Ovis aries: one gene and its partners. The protein of the gene in region 1 interacts with the protein of each later gene in a biochemical or structural test. Links are inferred from orthologs where the notes say so. Each region holds a gene or a part of one and is shown in the gene's direction. Other genes may lie near its edges. The genes, in order: MAPK8, ELK1 and MAP3K1.

Region 1 (10,429 bases):
TGAACTTTTAAAAGTTTGGTATCATCATCTCGCTGTGACTGGGAGCCCGATAGGCTCCTGGGTCTGGAATCTGAGGTCTCACCCCTCCTTCTCCTCTCTCCTGCCGGCCTGAGGCATCCCATGCACCTCCTTTCCCAGTGCGCCTCCCATTGCCCGCTCCGTCCCTTGAGGTTTCATTCTCCTCTGTCTCCCAGCCCCTGCCCCAGCGCCCTAGAGATTTGCCTGTTCCAAGGCCTCTAGTTAGTTCATTGCTGGACTTGAAGACAAGCTCTCAGAGGACCGCTCATACTTTAATGTTTTATTTCTTGTCATTGGACAGAAAGGAGGGATAATTTCAAACACTGAGGTACTGGGTTCTGGAGCAGTGGTTTTCAACTCGCTAGGTTTTAACATCACTGGGTTCCTGAAACTCACCCCTAGAAATTTTTATTACTCAGTTTGAAAACTGTTGCTTTTTATTCCATAAATGTATTCTTAAGAACTTCTGTATAACTTGCATTATTTAATATACTCATATTTGGAATGATTCCTATTTAGTGATCATGTAGTTCAAAAGCTCTTGTCCATTGCATGAGTCACGGGTCATATTCCCCACCCCATAATGTCATTTCTTCTTCCTGACCCAGTTGCACTGTGAGAATGTTTCTGTAGGTTAAGTATTCCTCTTACTTTTTAAAATCCAGGAAATGCTTGTTAGGCTATACTTTTGGTAAAGGAAAAGAGTCTCCCCTACTTTTATCTCTTTATGAAGTCCATGTGTACATTTATCAAGTACTTACTAGAACAGAAATAGCAAGACCTGAGTTTCCCTATCTGGAGCACTTGTGTGGCTCTGGCAAGTCATGTAACCAGATGGAGCAGCTGGACCAAGGATCCTTCGAATTAAAATGATTTTAATCTTTGTCCTGGCTTTTGCTTTAAAACAGGATGTATCAGAAGGATGGTTTGTACTTTACAGTGAGAAGATGTCATGAAGCATTTTTTATTAGGGCAGGTGTTTTATTAAAAACATTTATTTTATTGAAGTATAATTGATTTACAATGTTGTGTTTCTGGAATATAGCAAAGTGCTTCAGTTATCCGTATATACAGTAGTTTGCCCTTGCTCATCTCACACTCCCTGTCCAGCCACCCTCACCCCCCTTATTTTGGCCAACTACCAGCCTGTTCTCCTTGTGAGTCTTTTTCTGTTTCATAGATAAATTCATTTGTCATATTTTAGAGTCCACATATAAATGGTATCATATGGTAGTTGTTTTTCTGACTTAGAATGATAATTTCTAGGCCATCCATATTGCTGCAGATCACTTTATTTTGTTATTTTTTATGGCTGAGTAGTATTCCAAGGGGTGTGTGTGTGTCTGTGTGTCTTTGTGTGTGTGCGTGTGCACGCATGTGTGTGTCTGTCTGTGTGTGTGTGTGTGCGTGCGCGCCATGTCTTTATCCATTGATCTGTTATTGGACATACAGGCTGCTTCTGTGTCTTGGCTGTTGTGAATAGTGCTGCAGTGAATGCTGTCTTTTCAGATTATAGTTTTGTCTGGATATATGCCTAGGAGTGGGATTGATGGATCATATGGCAGTTTTCTTTTTAGTTTTTTGAGGAACCTCAAAACTTTTCATGCAAAGATGGGCACAATAAAGGACAGAAAGGGTATGGACCTAACAGAAGCAGAAGATATTAAGAAGAGGTGGCAAGAATACACAGAAGAACTGTACAAAAAAAGATCTTCATGATCCAGATAATCATGATGGTGTGATCACTTACCTAGAGCCAGACATCCTGGAATGCTAAGTCTAGTGGGCCTTAGGAAGCATCACTACGAACAAAGCTAGTGGAGGTGATGGAATTCCAGTTGAGCTATTTCAAATCCTAAAAGATGATGCTGTGAAAGTGCTGCACTCAATATGCCAGCAAATTTGGAAAACTTAGTGGTGGCCACAGGACTGGAAAAGGTCAGTTTTCATTCCTATCCCAGAGAAAGGCAATGCCAAAGAATGCTCAAACTGCCGCACAGTTGCGCTTATCTCACACGCCAGCAAAGTCACGCTCAAAATTCTTCAAGCCAGACTTCAACAGTATGTGAACTGTTGGATTTTAAAAAGGCAGAGGAATCAGAGATCAAATGGCCAATATTCGTTGGATCATCAAGAAAGCAAGAGAGTTCCAGAAAAACATCTACTTCTGCTTTATGACTATGCCAAAGCCTTTGACTGTGTGGACCACAACAAACTGGAAAATTCTGAAAGAGATGGGAATACTAGACCACCTGACCTGCCTCCTGAGAAATCTGTATGCAGGTCAGGAAACAACAGTTAGAACTGGACATGGAACAACAGACTAGTTCCAGATAGGAAAAGGAGGACGTCAAGGCTGTATATTGTCACCCTGCTTATTTAACTTATATGCGGAGTACATCATGAGAAACGCTGGACTGGAAGAAGCACAAGCTGGAATCAAGATTGCCGGGAGAAATATCAATAACCTCAGATATGCAGATGACACCACCCTTAAGCAGAAAGTGAAGAAGAACTAAAGAGCCTCTTGATGAAAATTGAAAGAGGAGAGTGAAAAAGTTAAGTTAAAACTCAACATTCAGAAAAGTAAGATCGTGGCATCCGGTCCCATCACTTCATGACAAATAGATGGGGAAACAGTGACAGACTTTTTTTCTTGGGCTCCAAAATCACTGCAGATGGTGACTGCAGACATGAAATTAAAAGACAGTTGCTCCTTGGAAGAAAAGTTATGGCCAACCTAGACAGCTAATTAAAAAACAAACACATTACTTTGGCAACGAAGGTCTGACTAGTCAAAGCTATGGTTTTTCCAGTAGTCATGTATGGATGTGAGAGTAGGACTATAAGAAAGCTGAGCACCAAAGAATTGATGCTTTTGAACTGTGGTGTTGGAGAAGACTCTTGAGAGTCCCTTGGACTGCAAGGAGACCCAACCAGTCCATCTTAAAGGAAATCAGTCCTGAATATTCATTGGAAGAACTGATGCTGAAGCTGAAACTCCCAATACTTTGGCCACCTGATGTGAAGAACTGACTCATTGGAAAAGACCTTGATGCTGGGAAAGATTGAAGGTGGGAGGAGAAGGGGACGACAGAGGATGAGATGGTTGAATGGCATCACCAACTCAGTGGACATGAGTTTGAGTAAACTCCGGGAGTTGGTGATGGACAGGGAAGCCTGGCGTGTTACAGTCCGTGGGGTCACAAAGAGTCGGATATGACTGAGCAACTGAACTGAATGGCAGTTTTCTTTTTAATTTTTGAGGAACCGTCATACTCTTTTTCCATAGAAGCTGCACCAGTTTACATTTATTAGGGCTGTAGTTTTTTTTAACTGTTTGAGTCATACATCCCTTGAGATCCTCTCTACAGCAAAATGCAATACAGACAGTTTTGCATGTATTATCAGTATTATTCGCACGCAGTCTGAAGCGAGTTCATGAATCTCGCTATAGGACTGTTTCTAAATATTGCTTGGAGTTGAGAATTCTTGTCTCGAATAATTCTTGTCTGAAATTGAAAAATTAGTAGAAAGGGCAGGGGCTCCAGGTTTCCAGACATTTTCCGAATTCTCGCCCCGCAGCTTGCAGTGAACTGTTTGTAAGTTAGTGTTGTGCTGTGTGTCACTTGTGGTTATTTTTAGTGAGCCTTTTAAAACCAAAAGAAAAATGATTGGCCACTGGAGGCAGTCAGCGCAGTACTGGTAGCTCCATCTGCAACTCTGTCTGCAACTGATTCGCTGTTCTGTTCCTCAGCACAGGTGCAGCAGTGACCAGTGGCTCTCAGCGTCCGTCATCATCGTCGTCTGCCAATGATGTGTCCTCAATGTCAACAGATCCGACCTTGGCCTCGGATACAGACAGCAGTCTAGAAGCGTCGGCTGGGCCTCTGGGCTGCTGTAGATGACTACTTGGGCCTCGGGGGGTGGGAGGGATGGGGAGTTGTTTAGTCATTGATAGAACTACTTTGAAAACAATTCAGTGGTCTTATTTTTGAGTGATTTTTCAAAAATGTAGAATTCATTTTGTAGTAAAGTAGTTTATTTTTTTTAATTTCAAGTGATGTAATTTAAAATTTAAGTTGTGTTTTAAAACAGCAACAGAACTGTGTATTTTTGCTGTAATTAACTGTATAATGTAAACCTAATTATTTTATCATGGTTTAAAATTTTTGCATATTTGCTTTATCTTATGCTGCTGATTTTTTTTTTTTACTGAATTTGTAAGATTTTGTTTATCAAAGCAACTATTATGTGGTGACTTGCCTATATCATGAATTATTTAAGATTTTATAGTTTTTTTTATTAGAATTTATTTCAAATGTTTTGTTCATGATGCTATCCTTTAGGGTTATGTGCTTATCAATGAAATAACCCCAGAGGAGTGAGGGAAAATAACCTGTAGCCAGTTATATTCAGGAATAACTACTGTAAATGATGAACGTGTTTTTTTAAAAAAAAAAAAACCTCCAATATTTGCTACTTGCCAATTCTAATTTAGTTACATACAACTGATAGGTAATCCTATGTGAATTTTGGCAAAAGCCCCATCATCTGAATGGCAGAATAACTCAGAGCATGTCTTTGAAAGTGTTGGGCATCTACCACCATCTTCCTATCCCCGTATCCCACCCACCAACAGTACAGTAAGAGAATATGGTGTTTCCTGCAAATTTGTGGCATGCTCAAAGCTTATGATCACATAAAGTCAAGAGGATACTTCATGAATAATACATTTCAACGCAAATAAACAGATGGTTCACCTGTACTAGCTGTGAGCCTGTTTTTGTATACACTGAGTTAATCTACTCAGGCTGTAGGTCCTAGCAATGATCTAGAGTCTGGTCTTTCTCTTTCCTACAGCCTCGGGCCCTTGGACCTATTCAGTCTCCTGTTAGAGTGTCAGTCAGTTGAGCACCAGTTCTCAGGGTGTTTCTGGCCATTTGATTCTACCTGTGGCGTAATCATATTTATACTAGCTGTTGGGAGGTTCCAAAGCCTACTTAGATTTCTGTAGGTGATGTATAAAATGAGCAATATACCGTTCATCTGAAAATAGTAGCACACAGCCATATATAGGATATCATTTTCTAAGGACTGTTTCTTCATATTGAGCAGAGCAGGCATAAGTGGTAGTTATTTAGTCTGAGTCTTTCATTTTTTTTAATACCTAATTTTCAATAAAACACACGATGTGGATGTTGAATAGTGTAAGAATGGTGCTGCTCCTGACAGTTGTATGTTAATTGTTTACATTTTATATCTGCAAAATTATTTCTCTATAACAGAATTTTTCTTAAGTAAAATGTCATTGAAGTCTCATTATCTCTGAAATATGTTGTCTGTAATGCCCCAGGCACTTTTTATTATTTTTGGAACAAGAGGGATTTCTTGTAATGAACTGGGAAATGCATACTTAAATAAGCAAAAAGTTCTAGGCAGAATGCCCAATGGAATTAATGACCAGCAGGAGTAGGAACTGGTGCGATTCAATGTGTGGCATATGAACGTCCACTTGGCACGGTATTCATGTATTCAGTGCAAAATTCCTTTTGAATAAGGTATTTTAGGTCATTGTTAATGTGCAATATATAGGATCAAAATACATTAACAGCCATTTTATATGTTTTAAAATAGTAAGATTGTTTTTGATTGTTTAAGCCATGATTTCCAGCCTCTTTCGAAGTGGCAGTCTTTTTATTCCTTTTCTACTCATATGACAGGGTGCATTAATTTTATTAGGCAAAATAAAGTTTTGAGACTATGACACCTCTTGAATTGTAGAAACAGGATTGGATTTGCAGTTTCAGGAGAATTTGAGCACGAATGTGCTGAGGTTTTATTAGCTTGACAGTTACCTAGCTTTATTTCTATAGAATAGATTATTTCACTGTTGCACTTTAACAACTGACATGCTCCCAGAAGATTCCCTTCATTTTCTGCTTCCTTGCTGATGAGCCATCTCTTGGCGCAGGTGTTGGTTAAGCAAGGAAAACCAGGTGTTTTAACAGTATCATTTGTTGTAAATGCCAGCTCCACTTGCCACCCAGCATGTTTCAGTTGATTGAGAGAAAACAAAACTCTTAATAGTCATGTAGACTTAAGATACATCCTAAAAACAAAGTCTGTAAGTGTTGTGTGCCCTGGGTTTTTAAAATGCAGTATCTCAATACAACTTTCCCTCTTCTCTAACTGTGTCAAATAAGCTAAAGATGGGCTAGTTCTTTTTAGTTTTAGAAGTTTTTGAAACTTTAAAACATCTTAAACACCTTTTAAATAAGTGGAAATAAGATTTCTGTCAAGCAGTATTTACGTAAAACCACCTTGCTTATCTTATAACTTTGGATTTTCAACTTTATATACTTAATATACCCATGGTCTTACTGTCAGAAAATTATTTAGACCAAGATTTATTATTCAGCGTTATAGGTTAGGAAAGTAATTCTTTCTGTGTATTTCTTCCTGGTTACGACTCTGTGACCCTCTAATATAAACTGACCATTTGTTAAATGATTGTATTGTTGGGATTGCTTAATTATAACAGGCAAAAATAGAGCATCTCAGCGCTTTCGTACTGTTTGCTACAGTTCTCATTTTGTTATACACCCTCAGCCGCTGATTGTTCCCAGTATGCATGCCCTATGTTGGTAAAGGCACAGTGTATTCACACCAGACTTCCTAAGAGAAATGCCAGCCTCTTAAGTGAGAAGGCTGTCACACAACCCCCTTAACAATAGCAAGAAGCTTGATTGCATGTAAAACAGCAGACTTTCCCATAAGCCCTTTTGTTATTTTTTTCCATGCTGATCCTGTTGTGTTGTCTAAAAAGGTGAAGGTGAAGAGGATGTGGATATCTGATAGTGCAATCAGCAGCAGGCGAATGAAGCCATTTGGGGTTACAGATAAGACTTGGTAGACACTATCGGCCAGTATGTGCTACACTGTGAGGATGTAACTACTCACTGTTGCCTAGACATAAGCCTGTACAACATGTTGAGGTAAAAGCATAGTCTATTTTCAAGAATACTGTTATAGTTTGTTTGTGAGTGTTGTTCATTAGTCACACACTAGCTGTAGAGTGAATGCATGACGCCCCGTGACCCCAGGAAACTTGCCAGTAGGAAAACCAGACACCACTGTCCTGTCATTAGCAGCCCTTAAGTGTTGCCTCTGGACCCGTTACATTTTAGTATACTTGTGTTTCTACTGATCTCTCTTAGGTTTTTCCTGAATCAGAGGAAACTAATTTTTCCTGAATAGCATGAAAGATGAAGGGGTAAAGGGCATTGAAGCAGAAATGTATAGTTTGGGGTATGATTAAAAAACTGGTAAGGAAAAAAACGTCCTAATTAGTTTCAAACTAACTTGCTCTTAGTTAAGTGCTCTTAAGGAGAGTCTAGTAAGAGTAACACTTTCTGGCCATTTCCGATTTAGATTCTCTTCATTACTGGAACTTCTGAGAAATATTACCTGTGGGTTAGTTTTGCACAATGTTCTATTCTCACAGTAACTTACAAATTAAACTAGGTTTTTATTGAACTACCTCACACTAATTTTCTATGCTTTCCCAAGTAAGCAGTTGCCCTTACTGTTAGATCTTCACTGAGTGTGAATTATGTGTGTTAAGTACTTTATAGCCAGTGTCAACACTATACCAGTAAGTATGTAAAATATATACCTTGCATCAGTAAGAGAGACTCACCTGTAAAATCTTTCACTATGTATCTTAGAAAATTGTGTTAGATGTGCTCGTTGGACGTTATTACTGTCTCTTTTTGTAAGTAGAAACCTGCTCGTGATATCAGTCCATTCTTTACATTTTACAAAAGGAATAAATCTTAGTAAATTTTACGAAGAAATAAATTACTTTTGTAGGCCCGATATTTGGTATATTTTTGAGAAGCTCTTAATCTTTTAGCCGAATGATGAAGTTAAAACTGAACTAGCTGTCTACCTGGACTGTGACATCTATTTTCTCATAGTTTATCCTGTTCAACAGGTTCTGAAACCTGAAACCTAAGTATGATAATCGACATTTGCTTTTCTCCCTGTATGATGCCATTCCTTTTCATTCCGCTCCCTTCCCTGTGTTCCAATCCCTCTCCTCTCCCCTCCTCTAGACAAAACAGAATGGGGCGCTTTGTAGGGAATGCTGAGATAATTATTGTGGTTTTTAATCCTTCATGCCCTAGTCATTAAACATGCACCACTGGAATGTAAACAATGTTATCTTAGTATGTTAATTGGTTATAATATTTTAAATAAAAAAGAAAAAAGTGATATGAAAATTATGAAATTAAGAGTTTTTCATTGAAAACAAAATACAAATTTTTGGTAAAAAGTTTTTCTGAGCAGGTATCAGATTTCCTATGGATTTGGGATTAAAGGGATACTAGGGCAAGTCTCTTAGATTTGGATTTTATATAAATTGTGAAAAGGCTAAACTGTCACCCTGGTTTTCTGGTGTTTGAACTTGCTAGAGAAACATTATCTTAAGAAAGGAATTTGCTTCAATGCCCTTAACCTAGTTCTAGTAGCCATGTGAGATAGCAGTCACATGGACCGCAGACCACTTGGCAAGAAGTATTTTAAAAGGATCTGTTTCAAAGCCACCCAGGGATTTCAGCTCAGTGCATTTCCAGCTTTGCCATGCAGGTGTTCTCTTTGCCTGTACTAGGCAGGCTAGCAGGCTCACTGATTGCATATGTCCAGTCTGTTGACTCTCATCTATCTTGCTCGACTCTTGCTCCAGATAACCGTCATATCCACAAGCTCACACCCCTCCTCACCTGAACTCATGCTCGCCTGGTTCTGAGGAAAGGACAGGCAAGGCCCAAGTATCCACCTGACCACTACTGCTCCATCAGCTGATGCGGTTGCCAGCCTGACGCTCTCCGTCTCATCACAGTCATTGGCGAGACCGCCGGTGATAGACTGGACGGCAAGAGCGGACGACCGTGCTGAGTGCCGAGTTAATCTCCACTCGATCGTAACGCCCTAGTGACACCAGATAAAATGAAGTGGTTCTTGTTAATTGCGGCGTTACATTTATTTTAGTACTGCTCCTTAAAAGATCCATTGACTCTGTCATTGAAAATTGATCTGTAGTGATTTTGTGGATTGAGGTTTTTTTTTTCTTAGCTTTTATAGCAGTACGTCTTTGGACTTCATTTGAAACTAAAAGATAACTTCAAATATGTTCTGTGAAGTTAGACTTCTGTCTGACATAATTCATTCACCATATCCTGTTGTCTCTCTCTCTGCTTCCGTGCTTGGTAACATATTTCATTTAACTCCATCTGTGTGTGCAAATCTGTCTGAGACCCTGTGTTGGAAGCTGGGCATGAGAGGTCTAAAAATGATGACACTCGAGCCTAGTAAGCCTGATCGAAATAAGTTTTGAATGGAGGAGCGAAGGTCATGCTGAAGGAACACAGGGAAGGACTGATTAGAGGGAATGAGGGTTTTTGCAGAAGAAGCATTTTTTCAAGGAAAGTTTGGAGAAGAGGGCATTCCCACGTAAAGGGAATGAGAAGGGAAGAATGGCCTAGTGGGGTATGACTGTAAGGAGAGAATGATGGGAGGTAAGACTGAAAAGTTGATCAGAAGTGAAACATTTTGAAGAGCTTGTCATCATTTTAAAGGCGGTAGGAACTGCTAGTTTGTGAATGGAGTTAATATGAACAGGCTTAGAATAACTGACAGTGGGCGCGGATCTGATAAGAGTGGAGGCGTGGGAATTGTGAAGCCAGAGATTGAGAACTGAGGTCCTCTGCGCATATTGAGAATGGAAAATTGGGGATTTAGATTACACCACATAAGTGAAGTTGGCAAGATTAGCATTTGGGGCTCATTGGTCAGCACACAAGAGGTTGTTTGGGGAGAGTACCTTGGGTGTATTTTACAGATTGTACATCACAGCTCATGACGGAACACACTTCAGGTATGGCATCAGCTTGCCATTTAGTGTTCCAGGAGTGGAAGGAAAGGAAAGATTGCCACCTACTTGCCTGCCAGCCTCTGTCCGCACAGTCTGTTCCCTGATGGAGTCTGTGTCATGCGCCTGCGTGGCCTGCGCCCCATTTTCATTAGTGTCCTTTTGTAGACAGAGGGAAAAGAGAGGGGTTCCTGCTGGATGTAACGTAAATAAGACTTGGAGTTGCCTGAACAGGTAGGGGCATAGTTCTGATTGCTGAGGATCGAGTGAGTGGTAAAGCAGCAGTAAAAAGTACTTTCGAAAAGTTGGCAGGAAATACAAAGAATTATGACAGTGTCTTGAGAGACAAAGGGTAAACTGAGGGGTCAGAACAAGTTGAAAGGGAGAATTCAGAGGCACCTGTGCCTTGATGAGACACAGTCCTGGAGAGGGTGGGATCCACTGAGTCCTAGGGGTCCAGACTAGCCTGACCTC
Region 2 (11,401 bases), on another chromosome or scaffold:
TGTGCGGCCCCAGAGATAGCAGCCCACCAGGCTCCCCCGTCCCTGGGATTCTCCAGGCAGGAACACTGGAGTGGGTTGCCATTTCCTTTTCCAATGCATGAAAGTGAAAAGTAAAAGTGAAGTTGCTCAGTCGTGTCCGACTCCTAGCAACTCCATGAACTACAGCCTACCAGGCTCCTCCATCCATGGGATTTTCCAGGCAAGAGTACTGGAGTGGGGTGCCACTGCCTTCTCCAGACCTTACCTCCTACCCACCCCTAACTCTCTTCCAGCCACAATGACCTCACTCATCCTCAGAAACACCAGGAGAAATCCAGCCTTGGGGTCTTTGCCTTGGCTATTTTTTCTGCCTGGAACAGTCTACCCCCATCTCTGCATGGTTCCTTTCAGGACTCTGTTCAAATGTCACCTGTCCCTGACCATCTGAACCTGCACACCTAGCAGGACTCAGGCCCTTTTTCTGCTTTATTTGTGTTTTTGCCCTTTATCACTGTCAGGCACTCTGTTCACCAGTTTATCATATTTATTGTCTTTCCCCGTTAAAATGGGAGTCCCATGAGGAACTCTTTCTGTCTGCTTATTCACTGCTAGTCTCCAACACCTAAAATTACTTACCTAGTACTTGATAAGAATTTATTGCACAAATGAATGAAGAAAATAACAATTTCAGACAAATCAGAGTTGGGGACAGATGGAGATGAAGAGGGCGTAAGAGAGTTAGTTAAGAGGCTAGTCAGTCAGGACTGTTTATTCAACAAACACTTACTGAGCACCAGGCATTCTTCTAGGTGCTGGGGATATGAAAGGGAACAAAACAGGCGGAAATCCCTGCCTTTGTGGAACAGACATTTGCTAAGAGTGCAGACTATATAAATAAGTCAGTCTAATTAGTATGTTAGACAAGTGCTAAGGAGCGAAAGTGAAGAAGGGAAGGTTGGAATAGAGTATCAGGGTGGTTAGAATCTTAGGCACAGGGCAGGCCTCATTTAGAAGGTGACACTTGAATTAAGGCTTAAAGGAGTTCAGGAAGGGACCCATGATGTGTAAGGGAAGAGTGTACCAGGCAGAAGGAACAGCCAATGCAAAGGCTCTGAGGAGGGATTGTGCCTGGCGTGTTCAAGGGCCATGAAGGAGGCCAGCGTGGCTGGAGCATAAGTCCTTTACATATCAGTTCAGTTCAGTTGCTCAGTCGTGTCCGACTCTTAGTGACCCCATGAACTGCAGCACGCCAGGCCTCCCTGTCCATCACCAACTTCAAAGAGTTTACCCAAACTCATGTCCACTGAGTCAGTGATGCTATCCAACCATCTCATCCTCTGTCATCCCCTTCCCCCCCTGCCCTCAATCTTTCCCAGCATCAGGGTTTTTTCAAATGAGTCAGCTCTTCCCATCAGGTGGCCAGAGTATTGGAGTTTCAGCTTCAACATCAGTCCTTCCAGTGAACACTCAGGACTGATCTCCTTTAGGATGGACTGGTTGGATCTCCTTGCAGTCAAGGGACTCTGAAGAGTCTTCTCCAACACCACAGTTCAAAAGCATCAATTCTTCGGCACTCAGCTTTATTTATAGTCCAACTCTCACATCCATACATGACTACTGGAAAAACCATAGCCTTGACTAGATGGACCTTTGGTGATAAAATAATGTCTCTGCTTTTTAATAATGCTGTCTAGGTTGGTCATAACTTTCTTTCCAGGCAAGAATACTGGAGTGGGTTGCCTTGTGAATTAATAAAACAAATAACTTCTCTGACCTTACCTTTAATTTCATGGCTGCAATCACCATCTGCAGTGATTTTAGAGCCCCCCAAAATAAAGTCAGCCACTGTTTCCACTGTTTCCCCATCTATTTCCCATGAAGTGATGGGACCGGATGCCATGAGCTTAGTTTTCTGAATGTTGAGCTTTAAGCCAGCTTTTTCACTCTCCTCTTTCACTTTCATCAAGAACTCTTTAGTTCTTCTTCACTTTCTGTCATAAGGGTGGTGTCATCTGCATATCTAAGGTTATTGATGTACTCTGCATATAAGTTAAATAAGCAGGGTGACAGTATACAGCCTTGGCGTACTCCTTTCCTTATTTGGAACCAGCCTGTTCCATGTCCAGTTCTAACTGTTGCTTCCTGACCTGCATACAGGTTTCTCAAGAGGCAGGTCAGAGGTCTGGTATTACCATCTCTTTCAGAATTTTCCCTAGTTTATTGTGAGCCACACAGTCGAAGGCTTTGGCATAGTCAATAAAGCAGAAATAGATGTTTTTCTGGAACTCTCTTGCTTTTTCGATAATCCAGCGGATGTTGGCATATACTGACATTTAATCCTCCCAGAAACCTTTCAGAGTAGGTGTATCTTGAAGATACTTAACTTTGAGAGTGGCATATCCCCCATTTTATAGGTACAGGAACAGACCCAGAGAGGTTGAGTAACTTGCTCATGGTCACAGAGCTAGAACAGGATAGAGGAGTATGAGGCTGGCAAGCCAGAGAGAAGAAAGATCTGCTGGGGTAGACAGGTTATTCATCACACAGAGGAAGAATTAATTCTGCCTGGGAGATCTCAGAACTTAATGATGTGTGTAATAAAGGGTTCATCGTATGTTGAAAAGAGGGAAGGACACTCCTGGCAGGGAGAACAGCACATGCATATCCTTAGAGATGGGAACTGGATGAACTCAGGGTGCCCACGATGTAACATGCCAAGCTTCAGTCCACCTCAGAGCCTTTGTACATTCTGTTCCCTGTGCTTGAAAGACCCTTCCCACAGATGTCAGCATGGCTTGCTACCTCCCCTCCTTCAGATTTCTACTCAGATGTCACTTCCTCAGGGAAGCCCTCCCTGAACACCCTGTGTAAAATAGCATTCCTGTCCCCCTCAAGGATCTTACCCTTCAGTTTTGCTCTATAGAGAGCAGGTGGAACAAAGTGGCTAGGATCACTGCCTAGAGCCAAACTGCCAGAGTTTGATCCCTGTCTCTTTGTGATCTTAGGCAAGTTGTATTACTTCTCTGTGCCTCCATTTCCTCACCTGGAACATGGGAGGGTAATAAGAGTGACCACCCATGATGTTGGTTTGAGGATTGAATGAGTCAAATGACTAAAATGGTAAGGGCTATGTGGCTGGTTCCTGTTTTTTAAATTGGTAATATTATTCCTGGCATACATGTAGGTGTCTCACAGGCCTCTGAGACTGACCATTTCTAAATCTGACCCCATGTTCTCCCTTCAAAACATGCTCTCCCGCAGGGCCCCTATCGCAGGTGATCAGGCCACAAACCTAGAGTCACCTCTCACCCCACACCACCCCTAGTGCTATCTGTCAACAAATTCCATTCGTTCTGTCTTCAGGTTTTATCCAGAACTCAGCCGCTTCTCACCAGTTCCACTGCTAACACCACCATCTCTTACGTGGACTATTGCAGTAGCCTCTTCAGCCCCTACAGCTGGTTCTCCTCACAACAGCCTGAGGGTCTGTTAAAATCCAAGTCCCAGCCTGTCACTTCTCTGCTCACAGCCATCTCATGGCTCCTATCTTATTCAGTCAAGTCAAAGCCCTTCCTGGCCTAAAAGAGCCTCACACAGTCTGGCCTCCATTGCCCCTCTGCTCTCAGGTCCTAGTGCTGATACTTTCCCTTCACTGTTTTCTCTCTGACCGTGCCAGATTTCTTTGCCTTCCTCTGACCTGCCAGGCTCTCCAGCCTCAGGGTCCTTCACCAGAGCTATTTTCTCTGCCTGGATGACTGCTTTCCAGGTTGTCACAAAACTGACACCTTCACCTCTCTTAGGTCTTTGCTCAAATATCACCTCCACAGTGAATACCTTTTCAGAAAGTAACTTCTCCCTGCTTCTTTGTTTTTTTCCAGACCTCTTATCACCGTCTGAAGAATTCTTGTTTATCTTGCTTCTTGTCTGTCTTCCCCACTAAAATGGGAGTTATGCCAGAGCAGGGATTTTTGTTGTATCCACTGCTGTCTCCCCAGCACCTGGCCCACAGCAAGCCCTCTATAAATGCTTGCTAAATGAATGAAATAAAGAGAAGTAAATGCATCTGAGAGAGGCATATGACTAGAACTCTTGTTAGGGATTATGTGGGAGATGTGATAATAAACAAAATACAAAACCTCGTGTGCTGCTGAGGCTTGAAGCCAACTGTCAGGTTTCACCTTAAGTGATAGATTCTGTGGCTGCTGAAAGGGGAACTGGTAAAATTGCCTGTTGTCACCACCAGGAGTCACAGTGGACTCTCTGCCTCTGAAACAAACAGGCCTTCCAAATAAACCAAGCAAGGTTTCTGATGACGGGACTGTAATCTGGATACTTTGTGGCCTTATGACTTACATAATTGCCTGAAACTGTGTCTGCCAAATGAACTTCGAAACAGCTCAGACATAAGAGGATCAGACTGTATTTCATTACAGATTAAAGACTCAAGCTATAAATTATAGAAAGATGTTCTTTCTTAACCCAGCAGTCCCAGCTGGGTGATTGATAAAAACTCTTTCCTTAAGGAATAGGAAGTTCATGTTTATTTCCAACTCACACTCAGCAAAACGAGCAGTTAATAGGTTGGGGGGGAAGAAGGCCAGGGAAGGTCCTATTCTGTGCATGACATGCTGAGGGAATAGTCAGTATGAGAGGCAGTTTAGTCTAATGGTTAAAAAGCTCAGACAACTGGAACTTGGCTGGCTGGGTCCAAATCTTGACTCTGCCACTTAGAGCTGCGTGGTATGTAAATGTCATTTAGACATTTTGTGCCTCAGCTTCCTCCTTTATAAATTAGAGATAATAAGAGTACCTATTTTCCAACGTTGTGATGAGAGAGAAATGAGTCAATAGCTGTAAAAATAGCAATCGAGGTCTACATGCCCTTATCTAAAACCCTTGGGGCCAGATGTGTTTCACAATTTTGAATTTTTCAGATTTTAGAAAAGTAACAAGGTACACATACGAGATGTTACGTAATACTCTTAGTGGGCTCTGTAATCAGCTACATTCAGATTTCTGCAGCAAGATGTATGAACAATCACACCAAGTGAAGATCCATAAAGACCACAAAAGGCCTTACTTTGTTTCAAATCAGGTTTTAGAGTAGCAGAAAAGGAGTAAGGAACAAATTAGAAATGGATATTCTGTATAGCAGATAAAGAATTAGGAACAAATTAGAAATGGTAAGAGCTTATCATACCCCAGGCATAGTATATTTACTGTACAATAACCCTGTGAGCTAGGTGGTATTATCATCTATTTTAGAGATGGAAAAAATGAGGCCCAAAGAGGTTAAAGAACACACCCAGGGTCACACTGCTAATAAGTAGCAGAATGAGGATTCCAGCCCTGGCAGTCTGGCTCTGGAGCCCGGGTCATCGTCCAATAGGCCATATTGCCTCTAATTGGTACAATGCCTGGCACATATTTAGCACTCAGTAGATGTTCATTACTGCTGTTGTCAAGAAGGAGAATCAGAAGGAAAGGAACAGGTCAGAGGAGCATGGGGTAGACAGACAGAAGAGAGCAGACATTTCAGTGTCAGGAATTTTCATAAAGTCAAGGCTCCTTGGGGCTGAGACTTGAACAAAGGAGAAGACTTGAAAGCAGAGGAAGGGAACCCAGCATGGAGTAAACAGCCTTTATGAGGTGCTGACAGAGGGAACCTCCTGGGAAACTTGGTATTTGATGTGGTAGAAGGTGCAAATGAAAATATTCAGGTGAGGGGCATTGCTCTGGTTTTCTATTCATGCTGTAACAAATTATCACAAACTTTTAACTCCTTTCAGTTCAGTTCAGTCACTCAGTTGTGTCCGACTCTTTGCAACTGCATAGACTGCAGCACACCAGGCCTCCCTATCCATCACCAACTCCCGGAGTTTACTCAAACTCATGTCCATTGATTGAGTCGGTGATGCCATCCAACCATCTCATCCTCTGTCATCCCCTTCTCCCACCTTCAATCTTTCCCAGCATCAGGGTCTTTTCAAATAAGTCAGTCTTCCCATCAGGTGGCCAAAGAATTGGAGTTTCAGCTTCAGCATCAGTCCTTCCAATGAATATTCAGGACTTATTCCTTTAGGATGGACTGATCTCCTTGCTGTCCAGGGGACTCTCAAGAGTCTTCTCCAATACCACAGTTCAAAAGCATCAATTCTTTGGCGCTCAGCTTTCTTTATAGTCCAACTCTTATCCACACATGACTACTGGAAAAACCATAGCTTTGACTAGATGGGCCTTTGTTGGCAAAGTAATGTCTCTGCTTTTTAATATGCTGTCTAGGTTGGTCATAACTTTTCTTCCAAGGAGGAAGCATTTTTTAATTTCATGGCTGCAGTTACCATCTTCAGTGACTTCAAAATAAAGTCTGTCACTGTTTCCACTGTTTCCCCATCTGTTTGCCATGAAGTGATGGGACCAGATGCCATGATCTTCATTTTCTGAGTGTTGAGTTTTAAGACAGCTTTTTCACTCTCCTCTTTCACTTTCATCAAAAGGCTCTTTAGTTCTTCTTCACTTTCTGCCATAAGGGTGGTGTCATCTGCATATCTGAGGTTATTGATATTTCTCTCAGCAGTCTTGATTCCAGCTTGTGTTTAACTGCTTAAAACAATACAAATTATTCTCTTAAGAGTTCTGGAGGTCAGAAGGTCAGCACAGGTCTCACCAGGCTAAAATCCAGGTGTTAGCAGGGCTACTTTCCTTTCTGGAAGCTTCATGTGATGAGATTGAGCTCACCCAAACATCTCTCTAGCTTAAGGTCCATAACCTTAAATCCATCTGCAAAGTTCCTTTTGCCATGTAACATATTCACAGTTTCCAGAAATTAGAACGTGGACATATTTGGGTAGGGGACATTATTCTGCCTAGCACAGTCTGCCCTTTGGCCCCCAGAGGTTCACATTTGTCCCACAGGCAGAACACATTCACACTGTCGTATCATTTCCAAAATTCTCATCCCACCCTTCCATAATCCAAAGCCAGGCTGAGGGTACTCAGGGAATGATGGTGGTAGCTGAGGACAGAGGTGGAGGCAAGGTGGAAAGAAAGGAATCTTTCTCCTACTGACCTCTTCCCCTTTATATACTCACAGCCTCTTAGTTCTGAGCTGTCTGCCCTCCAGGTATCCCTGGGATGGCGTGAGTACTTCCCCAGCGATGGACCCTTCTGTGACGCTGTGGCAGTTTCTGCTGCAGCTGCTAAGAGAGCAAGGCAATGGCCACATCATCTCCTGGACCTCACGGGATGGCGGTGAGTTCAAGCTGGTGGACGCTGAGGAGGTGGCCCGGCTGTGGGGGCTGCGCAAGAATAAGACCAACATGAACTATGACAAGCTCAGCCGGGCTTTGCGGTACTATTATGACAAGGTAAGGTGTCTGAGACCAGGGCTGGGACCCCACTCCCCCGCCCCCCACACCAGCAAACATTTATACCAGTTATTTCATTTTCTTGTCTTAATTTGATCTAGCTCTAGTTTTGAAAACAGTATTAAAATTTACCATTTTTTACCCCATCCTCTGGTACTTTCAGACCAATGTTGGGGCCCCCAAGCATTTATTCCAGTTATTTTATTTTCTTGTATTTTAACTTTGGCTAAAACCTTCAAAGCAACATTAATACTGACCCCCTACTCACTCCATTCTTTCTGAGATCCCCAGAGTCCTTCTGTCCCAACCACACCCCACACAACATTTCATTTTCTTGCCTTATTCCTTATTCCTCTGACCAAAACTTTTGAAAACACTATTAATAATGAGTCTTCCTCATCCTGGAACAGTCCTGGGTTCCCCCAGGTATTTCATGGTCTGCTCTTATCCCAGAATAAGAATTCTAGAATAGCCTTATTCTTAGAATCAAAGTCTCCATGATAGCATTATCCTAACCTTTGCTTATCTCATCCTCCAAGGCCCTCAACATTTTTATCAATTCTTTTCATATTTGATTTCGTTAGCTAAGACCTCCAAAACAACGTGTATAATGCCCGCTCCACACCCCATCCTCTTGTATTCCCAGAGCAACACCAGTCCTCTCCAATATTTATATCAGTTGTTTTATTTTATCATCTTATTCCTGTAGCTAAAATTATAAATTTTGCTTATCTTTTCCTCTCAGACTGCCAAACCAGTGCTAGATATCCCCCCTCACATTTATACCAGTTATTTCATTTTCTTATTTCTTTACCTGAAACTTCCAAAACAATGTTTTTCTTCTTCCAGTTTTACTGCAGTATGATTGACACACATTACTGTATAAGTTTAAGGTGTACAGCATAAAGAGTTGACTTGTATACATCAAGAAATAATTATCACAATAAGTTAAATAAACATCCACCAGCTCATACAGATACAAAATAAAAAGGAAAAAAATTCTTTACACTCTTAACTTTCATATATAACATACAGCAGTGTGAATCATTTATCATGTTGTACATTATATCCCTAGTACTTACTTTTCTTATAACTGGAAGTTTGTGCCTTTTGACTGCCTTCATCCAATTCCCTTTCCTCTCACCCCACACTGAAACTTCTCAGACAATATTAATGAGTCTCCCTTTTCATTCCTTTTCTGAGAAACACAAACCCACCCTGTGACATTCGTGGCCAACATGAAGATGTCTTCAGGGTGCCCTAATGCCCCCCAGATGCCTCTTGTCCCTCAGAACAGCCCTAGACCGGTGCTGTTGCCCACCGTTAACTCGCTTACAGCATTTATTTCATTTTTTAAAATATATTTATATTTTTTATATTTTTATATTTTAATCCTTTAGCTCAAACCTCCAGAACACTATTCATAATGAGTCTGCCTCACTCTATGCACTGAAACCACTAGAACATCCCTGAGATCCTCCAGGGCTATCCTGAAATACCCCAAACGTGCTCTGTGACCCACCCAAGCCAGCCTTAAGATTCCCACAGTATTTTTACCAGTATTTTAAATTCTTGTTAGTTGCTATCAGTCACTTCATTTTCCAATTGTTTCAGCTTAAACCTCTCCAGTGGTATTAAGAATAAGGCTCCTCATCCTCTCCACCCTGATGACTTTGCCCTGTTTCACAGCTGTGTCAAGAGCTTTAAATCATCCTCTAATAATTCATATTTATTAACAATTCATCACCATATTCTTCCATATTCATTTAGTCTCTTCCAACATTTATATCAGTGACTTCATTTCCCTGTCTTACTGCATTAGCTAGACTCCAAAACTGTGTCCTGGCAGCCACCCCCAGGGCCCGGCCCTGTTAGCCCACAGACACCCCTGGTTCCAGGAGCCAAGAGGAAAGCCTGTTCCTAGATCTGCTTCCCTAGTTGGGTCCCAGTGTGGAGAGGAGCCAGTGGGTGTGGCCATGTGTATCTAAGGTAGGGTGGGGGAACCTAACAGAAGATGAGAGTATGACAGAGGGAGACTTGGACGGGGATGGATGGGACTGAGGTGTGGCAGGGAGAAGGGCAGTAGACTAAAGGAAAGATTATGCAGTGGGGAGACAGAGAAGGGGAAGAAGCTGGAGGAGAAGACAGGGAAATCGGGTTGGGGAAGAGTAGTAGAAAGTAGGGGAGAAGGGAGGAGGCCTCAGATGAAGAGGTGAGTGAGATGTGAAAGAAGCTGGGAAGAGGACCCTATGGGGACACAGACACTGAGCAAGGACAGTGTATATGTAAAAGGACAGGAGAGGCATGAAGGGAAAAAAACACCAGGAGACACTCCTCACCGTCCACTCTCTCTAGCCCTTTCTTCTAAGACACTCTATCCTGTCTCTTCCCCCTTACCAGAATATCATCCGCAAAGTGAGCGGCCAGAAGTTTGTCTACAAGTTTGTGTCCTACCCTGAGGTCGCAGGGTGCTCCACTGAGGACTGCCCGCCTCAGCCTGAGGTGTCTGTCACCTCCACTCTGGCAAATGCAGGCGCCACAGCTGTACACGCCATCCCCGGGGACACTGCCTCTGGGAAGCCAGGCACACTCAAGGGTGCAGGAATGGCAGGCCCAGGTGGCTTGGCGCGCAGCAGCCGAAATGATTACATGCGCTCAGGCCTCTATTCCACCTTCACCATCCAGTCCCTGCAGCCACAACCGCCCTCTCACCCTCGACCTTCCACAGTGCTCCCCAACACCGGCCCTGCAGGAGTAGCAGTGCCTCCCTCGGGGAGCAGGAGCACCAGTCCAAACCCCTTGGAGGCCTGCCTGGAAGCTGAGGAGGCTGGCCTGCCTCTGCAGGTAAGGACTGGAATATGGAATTTCAGCAAGAGGAGGGATGTACAGTTCCCAAATGAAGAGAGGGACTGGGAAGAGGAGGGACATAATGTCCTGTTAAAGATGATATAATGGAAGGAGAGACACAGAAGTCCCCTTGGAGAAAGAGATGGGGAGGAAAACTATTCAAAACCCTGGGAAGGAAGAAGGAAATTGAGTGCACTACAATTAGCAGTACACCCAATATGTAGTAGGTGCCCTTGAATGTATTTGCTTAATGCACTGGCTCTCACACTTTTAGCACTCATCAGAAAGCACTTAGAGGGCTTTTAAAGACAGACGTGCTGAGGGACACCCCGAGAGTTTTTCTTTATGTGAGTCTGAGGATGGGCCCAAGAGTCTACATTTTTAACAAATTTCCAGATGAGGTGTATGCTGCTGGTCCATAAAGCAAATTTTTGAGAACCACTGCTTTTATACATGGGGGCAGTATTTCCTGGAGTCCCACCCCTGAAGGCAACCCAGATAAGAGGACCAGAAGCCCCATTTTCTTGGCAAAGTACCACATCTTGTTAAAGGACCTGCCCCTATTCTCAGGTCCCACTTTCCATGGGAAATAACTGGCTTCACTACCCCAGGAATCCTTAGGCATCCCTTCTGCACTCGTTCCTCTCCCAGGTCATCCTGACCCCACCCGAGGCCCCAAACCTTAAATCCGAAGAGCCAAACATGGAGCCTGGGTTGGGCCGGCCACTGCCCCCAGAAGTCAAAGTGGAAGAGCCCAAGGAAGAGTTAGAAGCTGCAGCCAGTGGGGAGGCGGGGTTTGTGCTGGAAGCCGTCAAGGCCGAGCCCTTTGAGCCCAAAGTCGACCCAGAAGTCCCTCCAGCAGAGGGCGTGCCAGCCCGGCTGTCCGCTGTCGTAATGGAAACTGCGGCGCAGGTGGGCGGCCTCACGGCTTCTACAACACCCAGCGCGGAGATTGCCCAGCCTCAGAAGGGCCGGAAGCCCCGGGACCTGGAGCTTCCACTCAGCCCGAGCCTGCTGGGTGGACCAGGACCCGAACGGACTCCGGGATCGGGAACTGGTTCAGGTCTACAGGCGCCAGGTCCAGCGCTGACGCCTTCCCTGCTACCTACGCACACATTGGTGAGCACTTTTGAAGGGGCGGGGCTGGCACCTGGAACAAATGGGATTGGGGCGGGGTGGCGCGGGGTGGGGGAGGGAGACTTACCGCG
Region 3 (11,401 bases), on another chromosome or scaffold:
CTGATGCTTTTGAACTGTGGTGTTAGAGAAGACTCTTGAGAGTCCCTTGGACAGCCAGGAGGTCAAACCAGTCAACCCTAAAGGAAATCAGTCCTGAATATTCCTTGGAAGGACTGATGCTGAAGCTGAAGCTCTAATACTTTGGCCACCTTATGCGAAGAACTGACTCATTGGAAAAGACCCTGATGCTGGGAAAGATTGAAGGCAGGAGGAGAAGGGGATGACAGAGGATGAGATAGTTGGATGGCATCACCAACTCTATAAAGGGGATGACAGAGGATGAGATAGTTGGATGGCATCACCAACTCTATGGACATGAGTTTGAGCAAGCTCAGGGAGTTGGTGATAGGGAAGCCTGGCATGCTGCAGTCCATGGGGTCGCAAAGAGTTGGATACAACTGAGCGACTGAGCTGAACTGAAAATGTGAGGCACAGGCATGAGAAAGTTGAACTAACAGTGGAAAGTTTATATGAGTTTAATGGAGGAGGTGGTGGCTGGGCCCAGGACCTGTGTCCCCATGGAAGGCTTGGAAGCACTGAAGCTCTGGAGTGCTGGGAGGACACACAGAGGGTCCTAGCTGCCTTCCTTAGGCTGGATAATTTTTTTAATATGAAAAAAATACACATTTTAGAACTAAGAATATATAAGTATTACTTATGAAGGTATTAGAAAAAACAGGTTTAAATTTAGAGGTCAATTTAGGAACAAAAATTGTTCCACTGAATAACATTTCAATTACAGACTGAGTCTTATATTAAGTGCAGAACTGTTATATTAAATGCACAACTGTAAAAAGATTAAGTAACATGAGTAATCCTTAAATTTTAGAACTAGGAAGGTCCTCAGAGCTGCCAAAGATGTTGACAAATGATCATTCATTTAGTATTTGTTTTCATACCTATTGTAAGCCAGGCATTATTAGCCATTGGGTATATGGAAACACTGGTCCTCTGCCTTCATGGAGCTTACAGTTTGGGGGGCAGTGCCTACAGCAGTGAACACTTCAGAGAAAAAGTACAGAGCTGTGGAAGAGTGGAACTAGAGATTCCTAATTGAGAGTGGGAAGGGTCTGTAAGGAGTTGAAGAAAAGCCACTGAGTGAGTAGAAATTAATGAGGTAAAAAGGAGACAAGAAACAGCTTGTGCAAAAAACCTGAGCAGGAGAGATGGAGCCAGTCAGTGAAAGAAATCGAGTGTGAGGGGAGAGGGGGTCTGGGTGACTTCAGTTGAGGTAAGACTGGATGATGCAGGGCCTCATAAGCCATAACATTTTGGATTTTTACTCTCAGCCCAGGGGGAAACCATCAGAGGGTTTTAATGGGGGAAGTGACCTTGGCTGCTCTGTGAAGTGAGGTTGGAGTACGTTTCAAAGTGAAGAAGCCCCCTCAGGAGTCTGCTGCTAGTTGAGACCAGCTAAGGTGACAATCTGACCTGAGCATTGTGACTGAAAGTATGTGTTCTTGAGGATAATTTGTATTAACCAAAGTCTTAATTTGTGTACATTTGGACCCAACAATTCCATTTCAGGGCATTTATTCTAAAGGAATAATCTTAGATGTGTGCAAAAGTTGAACTACTGGTATGTTTAAATATTTATATTTAATATCATTAAATATAAATAATACAGGATAGGAATAAGAAATTGGTTTGAAAGATTATAGTATTTTCAAACAAGTGGAAAGGAAAGAGGAAAATCATACCCACTTGAAGGAAACCACGTCATTGAGGAAGATTTGTTTAGTTAAGGAGAGTTCTCTGTGTGTTTGAGTGGGTACTAGGAAAAAGACACTGAAAATACAGAACTGAGAAGAGATACTCATGAAACAAATTTGAGGAGGAGAGATCTAGGACCAGGGGAAAGAGGGCACTTTTCGCGGTTGCAGGAGCTTCTGGCGTAAAAATGCACTGCAGTTCTACAGTGTGACTTCTGTTTTGAGTACTAGCCTGGGAATCTTTAAGCCATACCTTGCAACATTGTTACTGGGTGGAAAGTGCTTTTCATACCAGAGAGTTGTAAGTGAATTTTTAGTGTGCTATCAGCCCTTGAATTTGATTGCCTGTAAATTTGAGTTTCCCTGGGTAAGGATCAACTGAGCAGGATGAATTTTTGAGAAAACATTTTCTCTCTCCCTTTTCCCCTCTCCCCCCTTCTGTCCCTATCCCCTTCTTTTTCCCTTCCTTTTCCTCCCTCCCTTCCTTCCCCTTACATCCCTCCCTCTTCCTCTGACTCACCTCTAACATTTATGATATATTCAGAGCAGGGAAAGCAGTCACATACTTAAAGGAAATCAGTGCCCTCTGTCCCATATTGCCTCTCTTTGTGACAGTTTTTATACCTGAGTAATGGAGATATTTTACTATGTGGTGTGTCTTAATGCCCCTCTGCAAGTTTCAAATGTTATGTATTCTTTGCATTAGTAAAAATATCTAGGCCAGTTTCAGGCACAGAGGTATTTAATACCCTGGTTTCCACTCCCTCCATAGTATTGATGCTTAAGTAAACCAGTTGACTGTTATTTCCTTTCTGGTGCCTGTTTTCAGTAGGTTTGGGGGCTTGGGTGGGGCTGTTACTGCTATTGTTGGGTTTTTTGTTGTTGTTTGCTGCTGCTTTGCAAACACTGCTGCTTTATAGTAATGATTAGCTGGAATATTCCTAGAAGAGTTTGAATTTGACTTTTTGGTAAGCTTGCAGTTATCATCTCTGGTATTTCCTTTTCCTATCAGTGTAATTAAAAAAACAAAAACAAAAAACTGTTCCATAGCTTTACAGAGTTTCCAAAATAGTTACTGAAGTTCACTGAGTATTTTCTAAATTGTTGCTTCTCCCAGGATGCAGTTGCTTTAACTCTTTCCTTATAAAACCAGGTTTTAAAATCCATGCCTATATATATTGTGTGTTTCATATATCCGTGTGTGGATATGAGTGTATTTTGAAGCTAGTGGGTGTTTTACCTATTCGGTTTTGAAAAGTTAGTTCTCAAAAGTTATCAGCTTCCTGGATATTTTATTATAACTCCACAATACATTATCGTGTAAAGGTCAAAATGTTTCTACCAGGTAAATTTTTACTATTTGTATATGGAATACCCCAAGTACAATATCATTTTCTGAGAAAACAAGTTTAATTATTGAGACTTTGAAAAAAATACTGTGGATTAGAAGATGTGGTTAGGTTTCACCTAGATTATTAAATGTTTAACTTATTTCTGCAAATGAGCATATTTTCCAGATTTTACCTATATTGACTTAAGTTATTGGAATTCCTGGGATAAATAGTAATAATTAGCTCTTCTAAATATTTGTCTGTCATATACTTGAGTATGTTAAAATGGTGTAATTGGAAACAGTGCAGCTTTCACGAATGTATTTGTTAATACAGTGCTTAATGTCTTGAGGTGCTTTTTATTAACTACCTAGAAACAAAGGAAGGTCTGCGCTAGTATTACTAGTAAGCCTGCGCCTTCTAAATAGAACCTTACTTTTTAAAGACATTATTACACTAGTGTTATCAGGCAGCATTTAACACTCTCCATGTTACAGTGTAAATTCAACAACATAGTATGATTCATAATGATATTTTCATATCTTGCTTAAGTCATTCGGGGATTTTAGCAGTTATCTTTTTAGTTGCAAGTCCATTGAAAGTATGAAGTAAAACCATATTGTTCTTGAAAATTATTTTTCATATATAAATCTCATTCTCCTTATTTTTCCTTCTGTTTTTAGTCGTGAGATGGAGAATAAAGAAACGCTCAAGGGACTGCACAAGATGGACGATCGCCCAGAAGAACGAATGATCAGGGAGAAACTGAAGGCCACCTGTATGCCAGCCTGGAAGCATGAATGGCTGGAACGGAGGAACAGGAGAGGCCCCGTGGTGAGTTACCTGCTGGAAGGAAGCAAGCATAGGAGGAAGTGGGAAATTAAGCATAAATAGATCCTCTTGTAAGCTTTTTTTTTCCCCCTTCATTTTAAATGCTGGGCAGTTTTATTTGCTTTGACATTTTCTAGACACTTGAACAAAATGTAGCTAACGCTGTGCTCATTAAGCAACTTACACTGTTCTAAGGAGTAATCCCTCTGGTTGAGTGGGAGAGGTAATGCTTAAAGCAACACTGCCCTCTAATGTCTGTGTCTCGAAAATCCTTTAATTAGTGATTTATACTGTACTTAGAAAAGCGATTTTTCCAGTTTTATTTTGATGTTTTATCTCTAAGGTAGGATCTAAGGATCTTAATTCTAAATCTCTTAAAATTCATGTATGACAACATTTTAAAATGCCTTATGTAAATATCAACATTCAATTGATGAAGCGTAAATGACTGAAATGTGTGGTTAAAAATAGCCTTACACTTACAGCTTAAACTAATAAAGAAAAGTTGATATATTTTCCATTGTATTTGTATAATATTGCATAATTTTAAAAACTGAGTTCTTGTCTTGATCTTATGTTCATGTTTACTTCTTGTTTTATTTTTTAAGTAATAAAATACTGGCATTTTAATTTAGGTGGTAAAGCCAATCCCTATTAAAGGAGATGGATCTGAAATTAATAACTTGGCAGCCGAGTCTCAAGGAGAGGGCCCAACGAGCACTGCTTCCTCAGCTCCCAAAGGCCGACGCAGCCCTTCCCCTGGCAGCTCCCCCTCAGGTCGCACAGTAAAATCTGAATCTCCAGGAGTAAGGAGAAAAAGAGTTTCTCCGGTGCCTGTAAGTAAATGTGCTAAGTTTTCTACAATTTTAAAACTTACTTAGGACACAGGAAAGATTGGCTAACCATCTGTTAGATCAACATTCCCAAAGTGTGCCCGCAGACCCTGGGCTCAGGGTGCCTGCCCTCAGATGCTTCCTGTGGATCCATTAGGGCAAAACTGATCTTGTAGGAACCCTGAGATGTTATCTGCCTGTTGCACTGCATTGAGGTTTACAGTGGTGAGTAAAGCTGCTGGTGCATGTGCCTGAATTAAAGGTATGACAGTGGAAGCTGTATTCCTCACTTGGGTATTTGACAGACATTTTCCTTACAAAGAATTAAGTAAGACTCACTTCAAGGAAAACAGCTGATCTGTTTCTTCACTAGTGGTAAAATTTGAGATTTCAAGCAATAATTAGAGTTTTGGAAAACTCATATCCACTGCTGTCAGTTTGATAGCTTCACAGTACTTAGACTTTTAATGAGCCAATGGTATTATCACTTGTGGGTTTTTTTGTGTGTATTGTGCCATGAAATACATGAACTTTTAGAAGATCTGCCATTCCTTTGATGTAGTATCAAAGACGAATATTCGTTATTATTTGAAAAGGATTTCCCAAATACATGTCTACGTGAGGCCAGATTCTCTTCATGTATTCAACCAAAATACAGACTGAACGCAGACTGTATCACAGCAGACTGAACGCAGAAGCATGGATGAGAACCTCAGTATTGAGATTCAGTACTCTGATTCAGTCTCTGTATTGAGCCAGACATCAAAGAGACTTGTAAAAAGTTAGGTCCTGACCCTCCAAGACAGAGAGATTACCACTGGCAGGAATGCGAGTTAAAACTTTCTAACCTTGAAAAGCAAATGAGTGATGGCAAAATAATTGTGGTATAGTGACCAGAAGGGGGAGATTTGGGTTTCCTCACACCTGAGGTTGTTAAAGCACATAAATACTTCAGAAAGTAAATTTTAAGTAAATTTTACAGTAAAGCCCAAGATTCTCAACAGTATTTATCAGCTTTATGTGGACACATGTTTAAATTAGCTATTTTTTAAAAAACTTGACATGGGAACAATCATTTTAGCTCATAAATCTGAAATAGGCAGGGCTCAGCAAGAGTGGCTCATGTCTGCTTCCCGTGGCATCTGCAGACGCTAGAACATCCAGGGCTGCTTCTTCACTCCCCTGTCTGGTGCTTCATTCAGCTGGAGCAGCTGGGGGCTGTTGGCCTCTCTTTCTCAGAGCACAGAAATCAGGCTGTAGCAAGTGTTTCAAGCTAGGAAAGCAGGTGGAGTAGATTCTCACAGCCCTCAGAAGGAACCAGCCCTGTCAGCACCTTGATCGTTGATTGTGGACTTCAAGCCTCTGGAACTATGAGATGATACATTTCTGTTAAGCCAAAAAACAAAGGTGATTCAAGAGAGCAAATCCCAGCATGGAAGCTCTTATCAAGCCACCACTTGGATTATATTTACTGATGCCTTATTGCCCAAATCTAGTTACATGCTCAAATCCCAGAATCAGTGTGGTAGGGGACTACAGAAGGGTGTATAAGTATACTGGGAGGTGTGGTCCATGGGGTCATCAAAATGAAAGTCCACCGCAAATAAAGAATTGTGTCTCCCGTCCCCCTACACCCTCTTTGGGATATATATTAGACAAGGTGACTTCCTCATTTTAACGGCTACCTAGCGTTTCATTATCTGGATAAAGATCATTCATGGCTTCTTTGAACTACACACTAACGGACATTTATGTTCCTTCTCAACTTTTCATTACTGAAAACAGTCTTGCAAAAATATTTTTTATGCATACATCATTCTGCACATCTAGTGAACATATCCATAGTGTGAATACTTAGCAAGTCCAATGGTATATGCATGTGTACTTGTTTTGGGTTTTGTTTTACTTTTTAGTAATTGCCTATTTAAAAAACAATGGTTTTATTAAGATATAGTTCATATAGCGTACAGTTCACCCATTTAGTTGTACAGTACATTGAGTTTTGGTATATACATAGTTGTAGCCATCACTACAAGTTTTAAAATATTTTCATCCCTCCAGCAGAAAACCCCAGACTAGCAGTCTCTCCCCAGCCTTAGGCAACCACTGATCTACTTCCTGACTATATACAGTTTGCCTGGACCTTTTACATAAATGTAATCATATAATATGTATAGTCTTCTGTGGCTGGGTTTTGCTCCCAGCATCATGCTTTCAGGGCTCATCCATGGTATAGCTTGTATCAGTATTCCATTCATTTTTAATTGTAGAATAGTATTCTCTTGTATGGATATACATATTTTGTTTATTTACTCATTAGTTGGTGGGCATTTGATTTCCACTTCTGGCTTCACAGTGCTGCTGGTAACAGCTCTGTACACATTTTCACGTGGACATAGCTTCATTTTTCTTGGGTATATACATAGGAGTGGGATTGCTTTACAAAGGTTTACAAAGTGAGATTGTTTTGCAAAGCAGGTACACCATTTTACATTCCCACCAGCCCTGTTGGAGGCGCCCAACCGCTTCATTTTCTTACCAGCTTTTATTACCTTTTACCTGTTTAGTTTGGCATCAAAAAGAGCCAGACTTTGTGCTGGGCAGTGATGGAAAGACCAAGTTCTAGGGGAATCAGGGAAGTGGAGTGAGTGGCACACATCACCCTCACCACAGGAGCGTTTTCAGCAGCCTCCAGTGAGATGTCGTAACCTGGGAAGAGTCATTTACCCCTCCTTCTCCACAGAGAATTCCATGGAACTGTTTGTAAATGACCGGTCACAGGAAGCACATTTAGTAATCCCTGAAGTGGAAGCCAGGAAATTGGATGCTTCATTTTCATCCCTAGAAACAAGTCATTTTACCTGTTTAGGAAGCACATTTTCTATGCTTTTTATTTTGGTTTACATACAACTTTTCAAAGATGTCAGATACTTATAATTTGTAAAATTACCATACGTTTGTCTCTCCTAGCCAAAGATTTATTATTTTAAGGATGACAGATTTTAAAAATTTACTCTGGCAATATGTCAGACAAATGCATTTGCAAAACACATTTTGTCCCATCATATTATATATTGAGGCATTTTTTGGTGAATATAAAAAAGGTCTGGTGTGACCTTTTTTAGGTCATTTTTTTTCTTATGGAGGAGTAAATTTCTTAGGAGCAATTTACCTAATTTTTAAAATATTGTGAAGTTTCAGAGTGGGAGAATCACACCACCTCGAAGAGCCCCTTCACCAGATGGCTTCTCACCATACAGCCCCGAGGAAACAAACCGCCGTGTAAACAAAGTGATGCGGGCCAGGCTGTACTTACTACAGCAAATAGGACCCAACTCCTTCCTGATTGGAGGAGACAGCCCAGACAACAAATACCGGGTGTTTATCGGGCCTCAGGTAGGAACTGTCACCATTTTACATTTTATTAGGATCTGGAACTAACTCAGTATACTGTGACATTCTTAAATTAGCATGTAATTCTCTTCTGTAATCTAAAGAGAGTTAAACTATTGGGGGAACTGTAAACACTTTATTTAATGTGTTTATAAAGGGCTTTACTATGATTTGATATACTTCAGAATACAAATTTGGTCTTTTTATGGCTTATTTAGGGCTGTGCCGGGTCTTTGTTGCTGCTTGGGCTTTTTCCTAGCTGTGGCGAGCAGGGGCTGCTCACTGTGGTTCCTCTTGTTGCAGAGCGTGGGCTCTAGGGTGTGTGGGCCTCAGGAGCTGTGGCTCCTGGGCCCGGCAGCTGTGGCCCCTGGGCCCAGCAGCTGTGGCCCCTGGGCCCAGCAGCTGTGGCCCCTGGGCCCGGCAGCTGTGGCCCCGTGGGCCCGGCAGCTGTGGCTCCTTGGCTCCTGGGCCCGGCAGCTGTGGCCCCTGGGCCCGGCAGCCGTGGCCCCTGGGTCCGGCAGCCGTGGCCCCGTGGGCCCGGCAGCTGTGGCCCCTTGGCCCGTGGGCCTGGCAGCTGTGGCCCCTGGGCCCGGCAGCCGTGGCCCCTGGGTCCGGCAGCTGTGGCTCCTTGGCTCCTGGGCCCGGCAGCTGTGGCCCCTGGGCCCGGCAGCTGTGGCTCCTGGGCCCGGCAGCTGTGGCCCTGTGGGCCTGGCAGCTGTGGCTCCTTGGCTCCTGGGCCCGGCAGCTGTGGCCCCGTGGGCCTGGGAGCTGTGGCTCCTTGGCTCCTGGGCCCGGCAGCTGTGGCCCCGTGGGCCCGGGAGCTGTGGCTCCTTGGCTCCTGGGCCCGGCAGCTGTGTCTCCTTGGCTCCTGGGCCCGGCAGCTGTGGCTCGTGGGCTCTAGAACACAGTCTCAGTAGTTGTGGTGCGTAGGCTTAGTTGCTCCGAGGGATATGGGACCTTCTTGGACCAGAGATCTAACCCCTGTCTTCTGCACTGGTGGGTTGATTCTTTACCACTGAGCCACCAGACCAGCCAGCCTGGTCTTTTTAATAAACCAAAAATAAGAGATTAATTCATGGAGATAGCTGTAGAATTTTCTTGCATATCCTTATATATCTTATTATATAAAGATAATGAGAAATTAATAGAAAGTTTAGTATAATAAACTTGGAAATATTTTTAAAGGGATCAACCTAGGAGTTCTAGTGGAACACGGATTTATTAAAGTAGAGGTTTTTTGTGTTTTTTTTTTTTAACTCTTTAGAACTGCAGCTGTGGGCGTGGAACATTTTGTATTCATCTGCTATTTGTTATGCTCCGGGTATTTCAGCTAGAACCTTCAGACCCAATGTTATGGAGAAAAACTTTAAAGAATTTTGAGGTAATTTTTTTAAATAAATGCTCTGGAGTAAAATTGTCAACTAATTTTTATGATACTCCTGAAATTTTTCCATAAGCTTTAAATTTAAGTTAGACAGTGGTCATTTCAGAGATGTGAATGTATTTAAGGATTACTTGATGTCTGTAAATAGTTCTCTTATAAGCTATTGACTAATTAGTTTTTTTCTTCTAGAGTAAAAAAATAAACACTGACCTATAAAAATACTGTTCTTAGTAAACTATATGTATTCTTATTTTTGAAGCTCTTAAATTGTCTTTGTGAAAAACTTATGAAATAAAAGCCAAATAATTCAACCTATAGAACTCATTTTCTGTACATTATGGCACAAATGTCATGTTGCTGTCTTTTTTCAATGTTAGGTTGAGAGTTTGTTCCAGAAATATCACAGTAGGCGTAGCTCAAGGATCAAAGCTCCGTCTCGTAACACCATCCAGAAATTTGTTTCACGCATGTCAAATTCTCATACACTGTCGTCATCTAGCACGTCTACATCCAGTTCAGAAAACAGGTCAGTACTTTTTAAGGAATTAACAGCATTAATCCAGTGTTACTCTTTAATTTTAGGGGTTATTTATTTATTTATATATATATGTATATACACACACACACACTTGTTAAGTTGCTCTAAAATGACTTAACTATTGAATCTTGGATTTCAAGTTAAAAATCACGGGAAAAAAATATTAAAAGTCATCAAAGTATATTTGGATATTTTGTCTTGAAGCCTACAGTGTTGAAAATGGCACCTGAAATATCAGAATGTAATAAATGTCCACTTCATAAGAAAAATTAAGGTAGAAAGTAAGTGGCTACTGTTCATCAATTATGACTTCGTGCCACGCACCTTTTATGTTGTTTTATTAGGTAGGTTTTTACCACTTCGGGAGATAACGAACTTGAGGCATTGTGTAAAGAATATGTCTGTAATTCTTTTATAAATTATGTACAAGGCAAAGTGGTTATCCAAAATTACTTTCAAATATAGGATTTTTAAATTTCATGATATCACTGCTTCTCTCATAGACAGTCCTCAGGGAATCCTCATCACAGCCTGTTTTACATGTGAGAACATAAGTAGGCTCTTCTGAACAAAGAGACTAATCATTTGTAATTAAGAGATATAATACCCATTAATCATAGTTATTAATTAAAATCTATGTTGCTTCTCAGACTTTTCCATTGCCTGATTGCTGATAAGACTAAACTCATAATCCTGAAAGATCTGAGTTGTAAACCAGTATGACAGGTGTGGAAAAAATTAAGAGTATTATCATAAAAAGTCATGCCAGTTTTCTTTCTTTTCCAAGATTTCTTTATTGGTTTTAATGAAAAAAAATGAGGTTCTTAAAAATTATTCCAGAAAAGAGTACTCCTTTTTTTAGAAGGGCACCTCCTATGTGTTCTCAGGAACTTTGGTCTGAGAAGCAGTGGTCTAAGTGATTAAGTGTCATTTGCATTCCATCAATCTTTTAAGTATTGTTGAGGAATAGAAAGTGATGATATTAGGCAAGAGCGTGATGAAGTAAGGAACTGAGAGAGTATCTATGGAAAAAGTAAATGTTTGAATTTTCTTATTTTTTATTAAATGGATTGATTTTAGAATGAGAGTTTTATGAGTTTTTTGGGACATGGTTCAGTGATAAGTAAAACCAGAACAGGTCATTTGAACAGACGCAGAACCGAACCCTCCTGACTTGTGGTTCAGGACTCTCTCTCTTAGCCTTCATTTCTTCTAAATAAATGGAAAAAATTAGCTTTATTTCTCAAGCTTCCTTACCCAAACTTATTCTAGAGCCTTTTTCCTTTTGATTGATATTTTTGTAGCTTTTTATTTTGGAAAAGAAAGAAATGCTTAAAACCAGGTAGCCAATAGAAAGTGTCTCTCTCTTTCTCTAAGAT

What was found.
Region 2: of the proteins of MAPK8 (region 1) and ELK1, one has a biochemical effect on the other in vitro, tested with the Homo sapiens proteins (3 studies listed by BioGRID). The link is inferred for Ovis aries from reciprocal best matches to the Homo sapiens genes MAPK8 and ELK1.
Region 3: of the proteins of MAPK8 (region 1) and MAP3K1, one has a biochemical effect on the other in vitro, tested with the Homo sapiens proteins (3 studies listed by BioGRID, with this or other methods). The link is inferred for Ovis aries from reciprocal best matches to the Homo sapiens genes MAPK8 and MAP3K1.

Annotation. Positions count from the first base shown.
Region 1 is NC_056078.1:41,789,183-41,799,611, forward strand, and holds the end of MAPK8 (mitogen-activated protein kinase 8), read left to right. Parts: intron 1-3,775; coding exon of another isoform or gene 3,776-3,780; coding exon 3,781-3,926; 3' UTR 3,927-8,306; downstream 8,307-10,429. UniProt on the Homo sapiens protein: Serine/threonine-protein kinase involved in various processes such as cell proliferation, differentiation, migration, transformation and programmed cell death.
Region 2 is NC_056080.1:57,180,059-57,191,459, forward strand, and holds part of ELK1 (ETS domain-containing protein Elk-1), read left to right. Parts: intron 1-7,102; 5' UTR 7,103-7,136; coding exon 7,137-7,346; intron 7,347-9,746; coding exon 9,747-10,190; intron 10,191-10,844; coding exon 10,845-11,312; intron 11,313-11,401. UniProt on the Homo sapiens protein: Transcription factor that binds to purine-rich DNA sequences. Forms a ternary complex with SRF and the ETS and SRF motifs of the serum response element (SRE) on the promoter region of immediate early genes such as FOS and IER2.
Region 3 is NC_056069.1:22,545,998-22,557,398, reverse strand, and holds part of MAP3K1 (mitogen-activated protein kinase kinase kinase 1), read left to right. Parts: intron 1-3,726; coding exon 3,727-3,877; intron 3,878-4,509; coding exon 4,510-4,710; intron 4,711-7,902; coding exon 7,903-8,103; intron 8,104-9,364; coding exon 9,365-9,481; intron 9,482-9,861; coding exon 9,862-10,010; intron 10,011-11,401. UniProt on the Homo sapiens protein: Component of a protein kinase signal transduction cascade. Activates the ERK and JNK kinase pathways by phosphorylation of MAP2K1 and MAP2K4. May phosphorylate the MAPK8/JNK1 kinase.